3 linked regions of the Cricetulus griseus genome follow. The protein of the gene in region 3 purifies or fractionates together with the protein of the main gene of each other region. This does not show direct contact. Links are inferred from orthologs where the notes say so. Each region holds a gene or a part of one and is shown on either strand. Other genes may lie near its edges.

Region 1 (6,556 bases), on a different chromosome or scaffold from region 3:
AATTGCTTCAGTATCTAGTAATACCATGAAATTATGGAAAAGAGTAGATGGATTAGAAAATAACCGAGTGGAAATTTTTCCTGGCTTTTTGAGGCAGAATTTAATTATGTAGGTCCAGGCTGGCCTAAGTAGAATTTTAGAAACTGCAGTTTAACAGGACTTGGTGGTGCTCAGCTATAATGCCGGTATTTGGGAGACTGAGGCAGGAGGATCAGCTCAAGGCTATCATGGGCTACAGAGTGAAATTCTGTCTCAAAAGAGCAAAATCAAAAACTAAATAAAAAATTAAAGTTTAGAGTTATTGAAGTACGAGTGGAATGATAGATGAGACACAGTTGAAGAGACAATCCTTAAATTGGTGAAGTGAATTGTAGAAAGCCATGGTCTAGCTCAGAGAGATAGGAAGTGTAAAGCAGAGGTTGAGAGACATGATGCTTCAACATACTTCTAGACAGACACTGGCTGTACAGTCTCTAGGATTACACAAGTCCTCATATTTAAGAAGTATACAGTATGCCAAGAAGGAATGAAAGAATGACAGAACCAAAGCCAAAATATATATCTGTATAAGATCCCAGTTGGTACCCTGCCACTGTCTCTTTCTTGGCATGGTGTCCCTGTATAAATAGCCTACACTGTCCTGGAATCATGAGCAGACTGTGATGGGCGATGTCCTTCTGTATATATGTTTTTCTTATTGGTTGATGAATAAAACACTGGTTGGTCAGTAGCCAGGCAGGAAGTATAGGTGGGGCTACCAGATGAGGAAAAGGCTGGGGAGAGGACGCAGAGAGAGAGGCTGCCAGGGATGCCATGTAGTCGCTGAAGGAATAACATGCTGGAGCCTTTTTTGGTAAGATAAGGCCATGTAGAAATACATAGATTAGCAGTTATGGGTTAATAATTAAGAGAGAGTTAGCCAGTAAGAAGCCTGAGCCATTGGCCAACAGTTTAATAATTAGTGTCTTTGTGTGCTTATTTGGGGCTATTCAGTAGAGGGACCAGGCAGAACAGAAACCCCAACTATAAGACTGCCCTTAATTCATGGTGATCCTTCTGCCTCAGTTTCCCTAGTGCTGGGATCACAGGCATAGACTAACATGCTTGATCCTCATCTATTATTTTTTAGTTTTTCTTTTTGAGACAGGTCTCATGTAGCCCAAACTGACCCCCAACTCTTTATGCTGCTGAGGATAACCTGAGCTTTTTTAATTTTTAAAAGATTTCTTCTTCTTCTTCTTCTTCTTCTTCTTCTTCTTCTTCTTCTTCTTCTTCTTCTTCTTCTTCTTCTTCTCAATTTACTTATTTTATATGCATTGGCATTTTGCCTGCATGTCTGTGTGAGGGTGTCAGATCCCCTGAAACTGAAACTACAGGCAGTTGTGAGCTGCCATGTGGGTGTATTGAACCCATGTAGGAATTGAACCCTGGTCCTCTGGAAGAGCAGTCACTGTCCTTAACCACTGAGACATCTCTCCAGCCCCATATTCTTATTACTTTTAATTATGTATTCATGTGTACATGTGGGTGTGTGAGCATATAAGTGTAGGTGCTGCAGAGGCTAGAGGTGTTGGGTTTCCCTGAAGCTGGAGATACAGCTCTTTGTGAGCTATCTGACATGGGTACTGAGAGTCAGAGTACATGCTCTTTAACTGCTGACCTATTCCTCCATTTCCTAATTGTAATTTAAAATGTGCATTCACTTATTGTATGTGTGTGTGTGCCTAAGCCTGTGTCGGGCCACAAACATAGATGTCAGAGGATACCTTGTGGAAGTCAGTTCTCTGCACCACTTGGGTTCTTGAGATTGAACTCATGTAGTCAGTCTTGGGGGCAGGCACCTTTATTCCCTAGGCCGTCTTGCTGATCTGACCTTGGACTTCTGATCCTCCTGTCTCCCTCCATCTATCTAACGTTTGGTGCGCAGGCCTGCACCATCACACTTATTTCATGCAGTGCTGTGGAACAATCCCAGAGTTTCAATTGTGCTAGGCAAGTACTCTGCTAACTGAACTACATCCCCAGGCAGAAATTATATGTGGCTTGTTTTGAAAAGCACTATCTTAGAAAATCTTTGAGGAGGCTCTAGCAGAATTAAGATCTTTCTGGGTGAATATTCCAATCACATCTTCCAATGGTTTTACTGGGTTGCGGGAAGCTGGGGGCTTTATACATCTCTTGACAGCACCGGGATTACCTGAAGGACTGAATGGTTGACGGCTGTGATGACCAATAACACCTGTTTCAATTCTGCAGCCCAAAGATGTTTGTCTAATTGTGTGTGGGAGCTAAGAGCCACACCTGAGCAGTTACTCCTCTATCACAGTTTATCGGAATTTCCAGTGTTTAGGGTCACTTGTGTCATGCCGGGGTGGTGGAGTAGGGTAGATATACCGAGTGAGAAATCTGGGTTGGAGTTTGATTTACGCGCAGGCGCAGAAGGAAGCCTCGCAATTAAACCTGAAAGCGCCCTTCCCCCATCCCTTTCCGGCTTGCGTCTAACGCAGGCGCATAGAGAGCTCCAATATGGCGGCCCCCGTGGATCTGGAGTTGAAGAAGGTAACGGGGGCTGTGGAGCAGGCTGAGCCTTCTGTTTGAATGATGAAGCGAGTGGGGACAAGAATGAGAGGGGGACTCGAGTCTCGCTGAAGGAAGGAGACTGTAGGGGCCGGGGCTGGCTCCCTGGAGTCCTGAGACGGGGCCGCGCGGCTTCGGGGTCCCGGGGGCTCTCGGTGGCAGGGGCTGCTCCGGGCCGGTGGGCGAGCGGGTTAGCGGGCTGCGGTATGCCCTCACGTCCTGCACTCGCATCCTCTCTCTGCATTTTGGAGCCATCAGGGACCCACTTTCAAAGCAAGACCGAAGACAGCGTCTCACACGGATGCCCTTCATAGTGCTCTTTGGAGCCGAGGCACCAACTGTAATTCGGTTTCCTCATTTGATTTGAAAAACTTCCAAATTTAACATTTGCTTTTAGGTCACTTATTCTGTACCACTCTTTGAAACGTCCTTGTTTCTATACCTCAGAAAACCAGACACTGTTATACCAATGCTCATGTCAAGGCCTTAATGCTCCTTGCCTATCTTCTTTTTAAAGAATTTGCCTCCGCCCCCCCCCCCCCCCAATCCAGTAAGGTTTTCCGAAGGCGTGGTCCGAGGAATTGGATTTTTCTTTTTGCTCAATCCGTTTCTTATAAATGGTTTTTGTTTTTGCTTTGTTTTTTAGAGACGGTATCTCAGTGTGCCCTAGATTCGTTTGGGACTTAACTGTGTAGCTAAGCTGGCTTTGAACTCCAGGCAGTCTTCCTGCCTTAGCCTCTTGAGGTCTGGAATTACAATCGTTTTTGGTTTTCGAGACAGGGTTTCTCTGTGAACAGTCCAGGCTGACCTGGAACTCACTCTGTAGACCAGGCTGGGCCTGGAGCTCACAGAGATCCGCCTGCCTCTGCCTTCGGATTGCTGGGATTAAAGGCTTTCGCCACTGCCGGGCTGGAATTACAATCGAGTCAAACGCTGGTTTATAAAGCGGGTTGTTAATTGGAAACATTTTGCCACTTAAAAGTCTTAGGATCCTAACAATATTAAGACCCCTCTGTGCTTTCTTTGTGGAGAGTTGCCTATAGTTATAAAGAACCCTATAATTCATTCAGTTTAAATCTACTTTGTTTTCTTTCCTTCTTTCTTTTTATTTATTTATTTTTTGGTTTTTTGATGCATGGTTTCTTTGTGTAGCTTTGGAGCCTGTCTTGGAACTAGCTCTTGTAGACCAGGCTGGTCTCGAACTCACAGAGATCCACCTGCCTCTGCCTCCAGAGTGCTGGGACTAAAGGTGTGTGCTACCACTGCCCGCTAAATCTATTTTTCTAGAAAAGTAAACTTCTAGTGTTTTTAAGTGTGTGGTTTGTTTGTTTTGTTTGATCAGGCCCTGAAGCCCTAATGCTCTTTAGTGTCACTATCTCCTGAGTGTTAGGATAACAGACGTTTGCTAGGGTCACTGGCAAGAAACATCTTACAAGATTTGAGCCCCAGGCAGCAAGATGGGCCACTTGCCCGATAGCCTGGCTGTTTAAAGTTTTGTCCTTGGAACCCATGGTGGAAGGACAGAACTGCTCAAAGTTTTTTCTATAATGTCTCAGACTCACACTCCAGCACACTGGCCTATACTCAAACACATAATAAAAAATACATTTCAAAAATGGAGTCTAGAATTTGGTATGATCATAACATTTTGATCAGTAGGTTCTGTAGGTGAGCAACTTACTTTAAAAAGTTGTGTATTTTTATGTGTGTACATGTAGACACACCTGCAAATTGCTCAGGGGAGGTCAGGGAACAACTTTTAGGAATTGGTTCAAGTGGGCCCTGAGGATTGAACTCTTGCCTTTAGACAAGATGAGCCATCTCACTGGCCCAGATTCTGATTTTGTTTTGTTTTCCCCTCAGAGACAGGGTCTCATGTAGCCTGGGCTGGCCTGGAACTTGGCTATGTAGCTGGCATGTACCACTACACCCAGTTTCCCCAGTGCCAGAAATTGCTCTTAGGGCTTCCTGCATACAAGGCAGGGACTGTTCATCTTGTGTTTTGAGATGACCACTCATTGGGACCTAGAAGATTGCCACTTTGGCTAGATTGTCTAGCTGGTGAGCTTAAAGGATCCTCTTTTCTTCCTCTGTCTCCATGCCTAGCATTAAACAACAACAACAAGTTGTATTGTTACGTATGTAGGTGTCTTGCCTGCATGACTGTATAGCATGTATGTACAGCCCCCTCAGGGCAGAAAAGGGCCTTGGATTCCCTCTGAAACTGTAGTTACAGGTGGTTGTGAGCTGCTATGTGGGTACTGCGAACCAAACCTGGGTCTTCTGCAAGAACACCGAGTAGTACTCTTAACCCCCCCTGAGTCATCCCTCCGGCTCTCAAACTTAACTTTCTTTGTGGGTCCTGGGGAGTGATCCTAGGTCTGCTGACTGAACATTTCCCCAGCTCCCAGTAACATCTTAAGTAGCTGCCTCTGTTTACCCTTTGCCTAAGCAATAGGACAGCTGAAATAGCTGTTATTGCTAATAAAAGAAGCCATTTGTTATTGTTCCGGGGATGCTAAGTATGTTCGTCTTTTTTTTGGTGGGGGGGTTGAGACAGGGTTTCTGTGTGTAGCTTTGTAGACCAGGCTGGCTTTGAACTCACAGAGATCTGCCTGCTTCTGCCTCCTGAGTGCTGGGATTAAAGCTATGCACCACCACCTCTTGGCTGCTCTTTGCCATTCTTTACTTAAAACATGTAGACTTAATCTTATACAGCATTCTCTCATGCTGTAAATCTCACCCCCCCCTTTTTTTTTTTATAAAGCTCTGATTAGCTGGAACTCCCTATGTAGACCAGGCTGATCCTGAAATTACAAGAGCTCCTCTTGCCTCTTCCCCTTTAGTGCTGGGATTAAGAGTGTGTACCTCTATCCCTGGCTTGTAATTGTGGGCACACACATGCTAGTGTGTGGTCATTATGTGGAGGTCAGAATATAGTTTTGGGGGTCTGGTTTTCTCCTTTTACCATGTGGGTTCAGGTTCCAGGTATGTAACTCAGGTTGTTAGGCTTGGTCGTAAGAAACTTTACCTGCTGAGCAAGCTCATGGACATCTGTCTGTCTGTCTGTCTCTCTATCTTAATTTAAAAAAAAAAGTGTGTGTGTGTGTGTGTGTGTGTGTGTGTGTGTGTGTGTGTGTGTGTGTGTGTTTGAGTGTGAGTGCACACATTGAGGTTGGGGACAACTTGAGTGAGTCAGTTCTCTCTTACTATGTAGCTCCCAGGGATCAAATTTAGGTCATCAGGCTTGATGTCAGGTGCCTTTATCTGCTGAGCCAATCTCACTGGCCCTAATAAAATTCTTTTTCTGACAAGGTGTCTTATAGCCCAGGCTGGCCTTGAATATCTTGTGTGCTGTGTCCTGAACTACTCTGTCCTCTGTTTCTGCCTCCCAGTTGTTAGGATTACAGGCATGAGACACCAGGTCTGGGTCTCCAGCCAGGATTTTGAAGTAATGTGAAGTGCTTTGAATAATTCTTGTTTTGGATCTCTGAGCTTTATCCCAAGTATTTTACTTATTCCTTTTATTATTATTTGGTTATTTCAAATACAATTATTTAATAGGCTTTTGCTTTGCTTGTTCATATTGATCACATTGTCTGTGAACAGGGTACATTTAGAATCTAGCATAGTATTAGAATTCTGTTGACTCTCATTTATGTTTATTTTGGTGAATTTCACAGCTTTGGTTAGTATGTTCTGTTTTAATAAATCTGGATTTGACTTAAATGTTTCCATTCTAAATCACGGACTTGTTTTTTCTTAGGCCTTCACAGAGCTTCAAGCCAAAGTTATTGATACTCAACAGAAAGTGAAGCTTGCAGACATACAGATTGAACAGCTAAACAGAACGAAAAAGCATGCACACCTTACAGACACAGAGATCATGACGCTGGTAGATGAGACTAACATGTATGAAGGTGTAGGAAGAATGTAAGTAAAATACAGCCATATTTTCTTGTGAGGGCCTTCTTGTGAA
Region 2 (4,677 bases), on a different chromosome or scaffold from region 3:
TCTCTGCATTCTCTTGAAGTAAGATTCCACAGGGCACTTCTCAGGCTCTGGCTGAAATGAAGCATAAGCCAAGAGCTGGTCACCTCCTGCCAGCCCAATCTGGTCCTGTGACCCGTCAGCCCACTATCTAGATGCTGAATACACTGGGCACAGGAAGTAACACCCCCAAAGATATCTGTCACACTCTTTGTCCCATCCCACAGAATCCTGGAGTCCAGTTGTGCCTGACTCATGATCCCTGGGAGCAGCCCCTCAGACCCCACCCCAGCAGCCCAGGACAAGGCAGTAAGTGCAAACGGTGAACAAGGAAAGGGGTATTTGGTCATCTTTAGCTTGTCTGACTTTCATGGAGTAGAATTAAGACACCTTTTGGGCTCACTGCCCAGAGATAAAACAGGGGATGAAAATATTTATTTGTTTCTAAGACTCTTGCTATCCCAGATGAAAAGCCCACCTTGGTTGTAACTTACTGTGATTCGAGCTGTTTTGAGGCAGGCCCTCCTCACCACAGTCCCCTAACTTGCTCCAGTTTTGGGCAAGAGGTTCATCAGTCACTCTGGGGAAAAAAGTGGGACCCCTGTCCCAACAGAAACTGAATACACTAAATGAGAATTATTCCCTATTGGCACCAGGGAGTCATAAATAGCCCAGTGGCCCCAGCTGAATCACCAGAGCTAGTCCTGTGTCAGCATTTCTGCATAAACCAGGGTTTGCTAGGGGATTAGCTCACAGCCATAAAAAATTCTGCTGTAGGCTAAAGCCTGGCCTAAAGGAAATCTCAGCCCAGGAATAGATACTGGAAAGAAAGCCAGATGACGCAGCCCCCAAGCCTCTCAAGACAAGGGTGCCTGTCACCAGGGTCTCTTCAGGAGGGCTCTGCAGCCCTCAGCAGACATTGGTGATTCAAGACATTGACTGTACCTGTCATAGTTCAAATTTGGGTTTTTGATGCTGCTGTTTGTTGTTGTTGTTGTTGTTGTTTTAAAAAGATGTCTGCTGCTTTGAGAACTTGGAAAACTTGAACTTGAATTGAGCATGTGTGATCCAAAGCCTTTCCCTTCCCTGACGGTGAACAGTAAGGGAAGAGGTACTGAGCTAGGCTGGGACCCGGCTCACGCCCCTGACTGCTCACACATCTCACAGGTAACACTCTGAGAGCTCTGGGCCTGGACTGGGCTCACACCCCTGACTGCTCACACCACAGGTAACACTCTGAGAGCCAAGCTCAGGGACCTAGCCATGTGTAACACAAGCAGGCAAGTAGGGAAGGGCACCATCTCGTAGATAAAACCAGGCCCTTCTTAAAAATTTAGGAGTAATTAAGCTTTAAAATATTCAAACCCCTTTCTTTTAAGGGCTTTTAGGTTTTATGACTTAGAAAGCTGTCCATTCCTGCCTTATAGACACATTCTCTCAATTTTCTCCTAATGTTTTATATAATTATAAAGTGGTTATGTTTATATATTATAAATAAGATATTTATATCATATATAAAATATAATTGCTATATAATTATTGTAGACAGCCTACAATAATTATATAGCTATTATATTTTATATACAAATTTTTTCTGTTTAACTGATTTTAATAACATGACATAAAGCCCCTAAAATTGATATAATCATTATGCAAAATACATATATGAATACTGTCTTCTTTTTAAAATATAAAATAAATAAGTAAGACATGTGAAAATAGGCAAGTTTCCATTAAATGAAAAATTCTTAAAAAGAAGGTTTTCCCTTCGTTTCATTTAAAGAAGGAAAACGACCATTTAAGACAATATTCAAGTTTATTAAACAAGGTTAAAAAAGGTATTATAAAATGTTTAGCTTTCATCCACCCCAAGGTTTATGTTGCTGCCAAATTTTGTGTATAACTGTACTTTCAGGTTGGCTAATACCCACTGGATGGCTCCCACTCTGGACTCTAAGGCGTCGATCTCTTCTTGCAAAGTTTTCTTTGCTTCTTCTAACATCTCCTGGGCTTCTTCTTGAGAGTGGCTAATGAGAACATCTCTGATCAGGTATTGGGTCATGAAGCAGTCACCATCTGCCAGCATGATGTCGTTGAAAGTGTCTTCTAAATTCTGGAGGTGGTTCTTCTTCACTTCTATCTCCTTTTGCTCTGTGATTCGACTCGTATCTCGAGCAAATTTGTTTATTTTTTGTTGATCTTCGAAAGTAACATTGACGTCTTCTGCAGCCGCCTTCTTCATGGTGGCCACCATCTTGGACTCATAAATTTTTAAGAAGCTATTTTTGTCACATACTTTGTGTGACAAAAAAAATATATGGGAGGAAAGTGTTTGTCACACATAAGCCACAGGTTTGCACTCTGCTGTGATAAGGAATGGAGCGCAGTTTAAAGATGAGGAAATGAACACTAACAAGAGTGAGAACGTACAGAACAACAGCAGTAGCTAGGGAAAGAGGAATCGGAAGATGAAGATGATGGTACTCTGGTCTGGAAAAGACTTCCATGCTGCTTTGTTTTCAAAACATAAAACATTATTTTATAATATTTTAAGTAGAAAAAACTTTAATTACTCCAAAATATAGTTTATTGAAGAGGGGAAGTAGTTATAGACACTCAAGATGTGCTTAATCACCACACAGACTAACCTATGGCCGCTGTGGCAGAGCCTCTGGTTCTCTGCTTAGACCCTGGGGCAGAGAAGTCAGCAGTCTTGGGAGGCAAAGCTTGGGATACACAAGCGTTTGCCTTGAGAGTCCCGGAGAATACAGCACCCATGCAATCCTCCTCAGGCAGCATTTGCACTATGAGGGCAGCGAGCATCCAGTTCCACAGTGAAGAAAGCAACTGACCTGGGAATTACTGTTACGGGAGGCACAGAGAGCAGTCGGTTTCACCTGTGGTGACTGCTGAATGGAAGACTGTGGTTTCCCCACAGAGCCTTCCTCAGTCAAACGGGTGACACCGTGTATGCCTAGAGCTCAGACAAGTCTTGCTAAAACTTACATTTTAGACTGCATGGGCACAGTAAAGCCAGCTCTGAGGAGAGACACACCCTTGCCTTCAAGTCCCCTCTCGCAGCCCTCAGGATGCTGATTCTTGTTGAGAGAGTGGACAGGCTTGCTCGGTGTGGTGCATGAGAACTCCTGGAGGACGCATGTCCCTGCTGCTGGCCATTCGCAGCCCACACCCATAAGGAATCACTTTGCTCTGCTCAGCTTCAGGCCCTGCCCTAAAAGGATGTGTGCAAGACAGACCTCGCAGACAGTGCCCTTACAGTGCAACCCTCATTCTAGCTGCACACCTAACTCAGGCCTCAGCCCTTAACGCAGGTGTGACCTTTCTCATGGTCTCACAGCTGCCCCCCAACCTACCTTCTCCTGCAAACCCCACAAATGACTGTAACTTCTTCAGAGCCCAAAGGGCCTGGCTTTCTTCCTCAACATCAGCACCCCTTGTTTTGTGAAATCTTTACTTTCTGGTCACAAGAGCTAAAGAACCTTCGTTTGTCCCACAGAGCTTCAGTGAACACTCCTTATAAGCCAGGGTCAGGGTGCAGCAGCAAGGGAAACAGACAGAGCTCTGCCCTAGAGGGATTTAAATTTTATCACAACAGGCAAAATTAAATTCATTCATAAATATCTAGTTTAAGTGCTACAATACCTAGCAAGGCTATGGAGGGCCAGGACGGGTAGCCGTGGGGTTGACAGGGTGTTCTGTGAGGTTCCTTCCTGTGGGAGGGTGATGGCTCTTAAATGTGGGCTAGAGTGAAGAGTTGGTCTGTAATGGGCTTACTTCTCACCTTGCTCCCTTTTACTACAGTCCCATTCTCTCTGCACAGGAGACTCTAACTTCAACAAAAGCGTATTTGGGTAATCCGATATAAACTAAATTTAAACTTTGACCTCCGACAATAAAATTACTACTTTCCCTCTCTCTGAAGACCCGAAAAGCAGATGAAGGGCCTACTAGCCTCACTTTCTGCATTTCTAACTTACTCCTAAGATGATTCTAAGCTTCACTCAGAACCATCTGGGAACAGGTCAGGCCTGCGGTGGGCAGCTAGCGCGGAGCCCTTCTCCCCTTCTCGTTCTGTAGAGAAGCCACACATTTCTGGTTCTTGCAGCCTAGCTTCTGCTCTGTGGTACTGCTGCTTGGGGCCAAGTCGGAGCTGCAAACACAAAATCCAACTGCTGCCTTCCACCATACGAAAAATCTGTGCCGATTCCCATTTTGTAAGAACCGCTTTAATCCCCGCTGTGGGTCAAGGTTAAGTGTGGGCTTACTCCAATCTGCCCCACGTCATGTTATAATTCCTGTAGGTTATCGGACTTGGAAATGAAGGCAATTGCAGGGTCCACGTGGGGCTGTCTGCAACCAAGACCACTGCCTTCTCCGAGCCTCCAGCAGCCGCCCTGCCTGCCACTGCACATCTGCCATGCATGCACTGGACTCTGAGCGTGGCCTTCACAGGGCTCAGGTCTTCTATCTACAAAATTAAAGCCCAGCTTTTACAATTTTTTTGTTAAAGAGAGAAATTAAATGTCATAGTCTGGACCAGAATAAGCAACCGAGCGTTGAGATTCGGGGGTGCCCTGCATTAATAACTGTTCACTGAGGAAGCATTTCCTGTTTATACACGGAGCCAATGAGAATCCATCACGCCTGTCAAATACACTGAACACCAAATTCAAATGTCAA
Region 3 (5,251 bases):
CGAGTGCCACTACCACCTGGCCCACATCTTTGAGGTTTCAGGTTGACTCTTCTGTATTGGAATAAAAAAAGGGAGGGGATATATTTCTTTATTTGGGCATGCCAATTTTGCCTATGTAGTAAGTTTAAGGCTAGCTTGGACTACATGAGACCCTATCTCATAAGACAAAACAAAAGACCCAGACAACAACAAGAGAGTGAGAGAAACAGAACAGGTCCAGATTTTATAAGATAGCAGACACAGGACATTGTTGTGTCATGATACCTTCCTATTCTTATGGCAGATATAACTAATTAGTCACAAAATACTTTTTTATTTGTTTGTTTGTTTGTTTTTTGAGACAGGGTTTCTCTGTGTACCTTTGGAGCCTATCCTGGCACTTGCTCTGTAGACCAGGCTGGCCTCGAACTTACAGAGATCCGCCTGCCTCTGCTTCCCAAGGGCTGGGACTAAAGGCGTGTGCCACCAACGCCCAGCCAACTTTTAAGCTTTTTGTGATGTAGAAAAATCTAGAACCTGATGCTATTTTTTTTTATATCATCTGCTAGTCCTTTAGGGTTTCAGTGTAAGGCCATAATATCTAGAATTGAGAGGAGGGCTAGTGAGGATTGTGCTTGTCCCTGTAATATGAGACCAGCTCACACCTTTTGTCACCATTTCCAGCTATGTAGTACTGGACCTCATGGAGAGTGACCTACACCAGATCATCCACTCCTCACAGCCACTCACACTGGAGCATGTGCGATACTTCTTGTACCAGCTGCTTCGGGGCCTCAAGTATATGCACTCTGCTCAGGTCATCCACCGTGACCTTAAACCCTCTAACCTTTTGGTGAATGAGAACTGTGAGCTCAAGATTGGTGACTTTGGAATGGCCCGTGGGCTGTGTACCTCCCCTGCTGAACACCAGTACTTCATGACTGAGTACGTGGCCACTCGCTGGTACCGTGCCCCTGAACTCATGCTTTCCCTGCATGAGTACACACAGGCTATTGACCTCTGGTCTGTGGGCTGCATCTTTGGTGAGATGCTGGCTCGGCGACAACTCTTCCCAGGCAAAAACTATGTGCACCAGTTACAGCTGATCATGATGGTGTTGGGAACCCCATCACCAGCTGTGATTCAGGCTGTGGGGGCTGAAAGGGTGCGGGCATATATCCAGAGCCTGCCACCACGGCAGCCTGTACCCTGGGAGACAGTATACCCAGGTGCTGACCGCCAGGCCCTCTCACTGCTGGGCCGCATGTTGCGATTTGAACCCAGTGCCCGGATCTCAGCTGCTGCTGCCCTTCGTCACCCCTTCCTGGCTAAGTACCATGACCCTGATGATGAGCCTGATTGTGCCCCACCTTTTGACTTTGCTTTTGACCGTGAAGCCCTTACTAGGGAGCGCATTAAGGAAGCCATTGTGGCTGAGATTGAGGACTTCCATGCACGACGGGAGGGCATCCGCCAACAAATCCGCTTCCAGCCTTCTCTGCAGCCTGTGGCTAGTGAGCCTGTGTGTCCAGATGTTGAGATGCCCAGTCCCTGGGCTCCAAGTGGAGACTGTGCCATGGAGTCACCTCCTCCAGCACCACCACCATGCTCTGGCCCTGCACCTGACACTGTTGATCTGACTCTGAAGCCTGCGCCCCCAGCCAGTGAGCTTGCCCCACCAAAAAGAGAGGGTGCCATCTCAGACAACACCAAAGCAGCCCTCAAAGCTGCCCTGCTCAAGTCCCTGAGGAGCCGACTCAGAGGTGCTTTCATGGGTCTAGCAGCTGGCTGGCTAGTGGAGTGGTAGACAAGGACTCTTGAACAGAATTGTAAGCCCTTACCTTTCCCTGTCCAACTGCCCTGCAGATGGCCCCAGTGCACCCTTGGAGGCACCTGAACCTCGAAAGCCTGTGACAGCTCAGGAACGCCAGCGAGAGCGAGAAGAGAAGCGTAGGAGGCGACAAGAGAGAGCCAAGGAGAGGGAGAAGCGACGACAAGAGAGGGAACGCAAGGAGAGAGGAGCTGGTGCCTTGGGGGGGCCCTCTACTGACCCTCTGGCTGGACTGGTGCTTAGTGACAATGACCGAAGCCTGCTAGAGCGGTGGACTCGCATGGCTCGGCCTCCTGCCCCAACTCCAGCCCCAGCCCCAGCTCCATCCCCTGCCCAACCTGCTAGTCCTCCCACTGGCCCTGTATCTCAGTCTGCTGGTCCTCCTCTACAGCCTGCAGGCTCTATTCCTGGTCCTGCCTCCCAGCCTGTTTGCCCACCCACTGGCCCTGCTCCCCAGCCTTCTGGCCCTCCTGGACCTATCCCTGCCCCACTCCAAACTGCCCCTTCCACTAGCCTTCTGGCCTCTCAGTCACTTGTGCCAACTAGTGGGTTGCCTGGCTCCAGTGCCCCAGAAGTTCTGCCTTACTTCCCATCTGGCCCACCACCTCCAGATCCTGGGGGCCCCCCTCAGCCTTCTACATCAGAGTCACCAGATGTCAACCTGGTGACCCAGCAACTGTCTAAGTCTCAGGTGAGAAGAGAGACAAAGGCCTGGGTACCTTGATCTGGGTCCTGGAAGGTGGGTTTGGGTTACCATGTTGGATGGAAAAAAGTAGCAAAGGGATTGTTACCTCTTTGAGCCTGCCCTCTTATCACAGTGAAGAGGTTGTTGGGAAGTAGACTCTAGAAAGTGGCCTAGAGACAGCACCAGTTGTCTTAGTACTTGATTTTTGATTTTGAGATCGTGTTCATGTTCTGGGATATTGGTCAGAGTGGTGAGTAATAGCAGGCTGTGTCCTGCTGACCTTAATTTGTCCTTCCTGGAACCTGTGTTGTAACCTGTTATTGTCCCTGCAGGTGGAGGACCCCCTGCCTCCTGTGTTTTCAGGCACTCCAAAGGGCAGTGGGGCTGGCTACGGTGTTGGCTTTGACCTAGAGGAATTCTTAAACCAATCTTTCGATATGGGTGTGGCTGATGGGCCACAGGATGGGTAAGATGGTTGGACTGAGCTCCTGGAATGGGGCTATGGCAGGGTCCTTGGATGGCTGCCCAGCTGGCTCAGGCTGAGAACACCCATCCCAATTCCTTTTTCTTGCAGCCAGGCAGACTCAGCTTCACTCTCAGCCTCCCTCCTGGCTGACTGGCTTGAGGGCCACGGCATGAACCCGGCTGACATCGAGTCTCTGCAGCGTGAAATCCAGATGGACTCCCCAATGCTGCTGGCTGACCTGCCTGACCTCCAGGAGCCCTGAAACCCACAGCTTGTGCCTTGCTGTCAGGACAGACCCAGCTTCAAGGTCCAGGGATGCAATCCAGAGGCCTGCAGCCTTGGCACTGGCAGGTGAGGCTCAGCTTGAGTTACTCTGCAGGTTCATCTCAGACCCACCTTTCAGCCTTAAGCAGCCACCTGAGCCACCACCGAGCCATAACAGGATTGGGAGACTACTCCCCCTGAGCAGTCTTCTCCAGTATTGTATTTTTATTGTTGTAATATGCATTTGTTTTGCCATCAAAATGAGGTCTGTGAAATATAAGGTTTCTTTTAAGCTGACTGTGTGTCATTTCTGGACCTGGGGTAAGAACACCAGCAGTAGGCGTATAAGGAAGAGCCAGGTGCCCGCATTATTTGGGGCCAAGTAAGTGTTTGTCCACAAGGTCACTCCATCAGATCCTGAAGGTTTATTGAGACCTCCACTTCCCACCCACTCCCAGCCCCACAAATTATTCCCTGCTGCTGCCTTTCATGACAATCCTTGGGGCAAGTAAGGGACCTAGTTAACATGCCTATCTTGCCGGTGGCTACTTCAGGGTTGATGAGTAGTGGTGGTGAATGTTGTTTTGGCATTGAACTCTGAATAACTAGTGAAGGCAGGTGGAGTTGGGCTCCATGGTGCTCACTATAAGGGAATGAATTGGTGAGGGGGAGACCAAGGGTGGGAAGTATTCTGGGTGGGAGTGCTGGGGTGTAATAGTGGCAAATGCCATAGGTGCTGCATTATGCCGTCTAGGGTAGCCCCAAACAGATGGGTCTGCAGTAAGGGAATTGGCTGTGGTGGAATGCAAAAGCTGGCAACTAGAAGGTAGCTTTTGGCTTCCAGCTGTCAGGAAGGAGTAGAAGCAACTTGGAGTTTTTATAGGGTGCAGCCAGATCCATGCTGGGATGGCTGGGCCACAGAAAGGACTAATGGGCTGCTGACAGCCTAGCCTCAGGAAAGCAATAGGGTCTGGACATGGGACAGGGATTTGCCAGGGCATTGCTGGTGCTCAGAAAGCAGCAGAAGCAGTGTCTTGTGGGTATATCTTGGAGACTTGGGGCTTCTAGGGGAGAGATGGGGCCTGCCTGAGCCAGCTCCTCAGGCCCGACGAATTTTCATCTCAGTACGCTTGAGGGAGTAGTAGAAGCCTTTCCACTGGGCCCAGTTGATGCCATTGGCATAGGAGAGGTGGGAACCACCCAGGTAGAAGCCGTTGAGATTGGCGAAGTGGCAGCTTCTGAACCAGAAGGCCCCTGAGGAGAGGGCTGCACAGTTCTGCACGAAGAGGTCCTGGTCTCTGTCGAAGGTGGAGAACTTCTGGCCACTGTGGTAGGACAGTGAGTCACCTGGCAGGAGGGAGAGAGGATAGAACTACTGAGGCCAGGAGCAGAGCCTTGTGCTGGCAGTCTAAGTGACAGCAGTTGATGGATGACACTGGGGGACAGAACAACATCATGTGGCATCCTGTTGGGATGGAGGCACCCTCCCTGAGCCACAAAGAGAAACAGCTGTTCTGGAGCAAGGCCAGGGTGGCTGTTCCCTAGGGCTGGGGTTCAGGTGGCTGGAGTTAGTCTGGAGAGAGCTGTGGCTCTTCCAAGTCCAGAAGGGTTGAAGGAGGATCTTTAAGGAGCCAATGGGGCAGGGGCCAATCCTATGTTATTGTGCCCCGCCCCCTGCCCTGCCACTGCCTCTGAAGAAGCTGATAGGGGTACCTGCCCCGCCATCCTCGAAGCCAGCCACGTAGAGGGTATAGCCATCCTCCTCAGCACTGACGGCGTTGGGGGAGATGGAGAAGTCAACATACTTGGCATAGGCTGTATTGTTCTCAAAGTCTTCCAAGTCCACTCGCAACTCATACTTCTGCTTCAGCGTCAGGAGGTGCAGGTTCTGCAGCCCTAGGGATGGGTAGCAGCTGGTTAGCAAAAACTTGGCTGAGGGGCAGCCCCTACCCTGTGGCCCCACCTTACCCAGCCAGTACTCCCCATCAGCACGGCCAAAGCCCAGCTTGTAGTCGTTCCAGCCCCG

What was found. Proteins that work in one complex are often made in the same cells at the same time.
Region 1: the proteins of Mapk7 (region 3) and Pfdn1 purify together in Homo sapiens (affinity purification with mass spectrometry; 3 studies listed by BioGRID and IntAct, with this or other methods). This does not show direct contact. The link is inferred for Cricetulus griseus from reciprocal best matches to the Homo sapiens genes MAPK7 and PFDN1.
Region 2: the proteins of Mapk7 (region 3) and prefoldin subunit 4 purify together in Homo sapiens (affinity purification with mass spectrometry; 3 studies listed by BioGRID and IntAct, with this or other methods). This does not show direct contact. The link is inferred for Cricetulus griseus from reciprocal best matches to the Homo sapiens genes MAPK7 and PFDN4.

Annotation. Positions count from the first base shown.
Region 1 is NC_048595.1:201,062,963-201,069,518, forward strand, and holds the start of Pfdn1 (prefoldin subunit 1), read left to right. Parts: upstream 1-2,428; 5' UTR 2,429-2,526; coding exon 2,527-2,559; intron 2,560-6,343; coding exon 6,344-6,510; intron 6,511-6,556. UniProt on the Homo sapiens protein: Binds specifically to cytosolic chaperonin (c-CPN) and transfers target proteins to it. Binds to nascent polypeptide chain and promotes folding in an environment in which there are many competing pathways for nonnative proteins.
Region 2 is NC_048596.1:275,034,689-275,039,365, reverse strand, and holds prefoldin subunit 4, read right to left. Parts: upstream 2,231-4,677; coding exon 1,829-2,230; downstream 1-1,828. UniProt on the Homo sapiens protein: Binds specifically to cytosolic chaperonin (c-CPN) and transfers target proteins to it. Binds to nascent polypeptide chain and promotes folding in an environment in which there are many competing pathways for nonnative proteins.
Region 3 is NC_048600.1:75,491,009-75,496,259, reverse strand, and holds the end of Mapk7 (mitogen-activated protein kinase 7), read left to right. Parts: intron 1-663; coding exon 664-1,742; intron 1,743-1,845; coding exon 1,846-2,501; intron 2,502-2,827; coding exon 2,828-2,961; intron 2,962-3,069; coding exon 3,070-3,223; 3' UTR 3,224-3,522; downstream 3,523-5,251. Other genes in the region: Mfap4 (microfibril-associated glycoprotein 4), read right to left, coding at 4,325-4,572, 4,939-5,121, 5,194-5,251. UniProt on the Homo sapiens protein: Plays a role in various cellular processes such as proliferation, differentiation and cell survival. The upstream activator of MAPK7 is the MAPK kinase MAP2K5.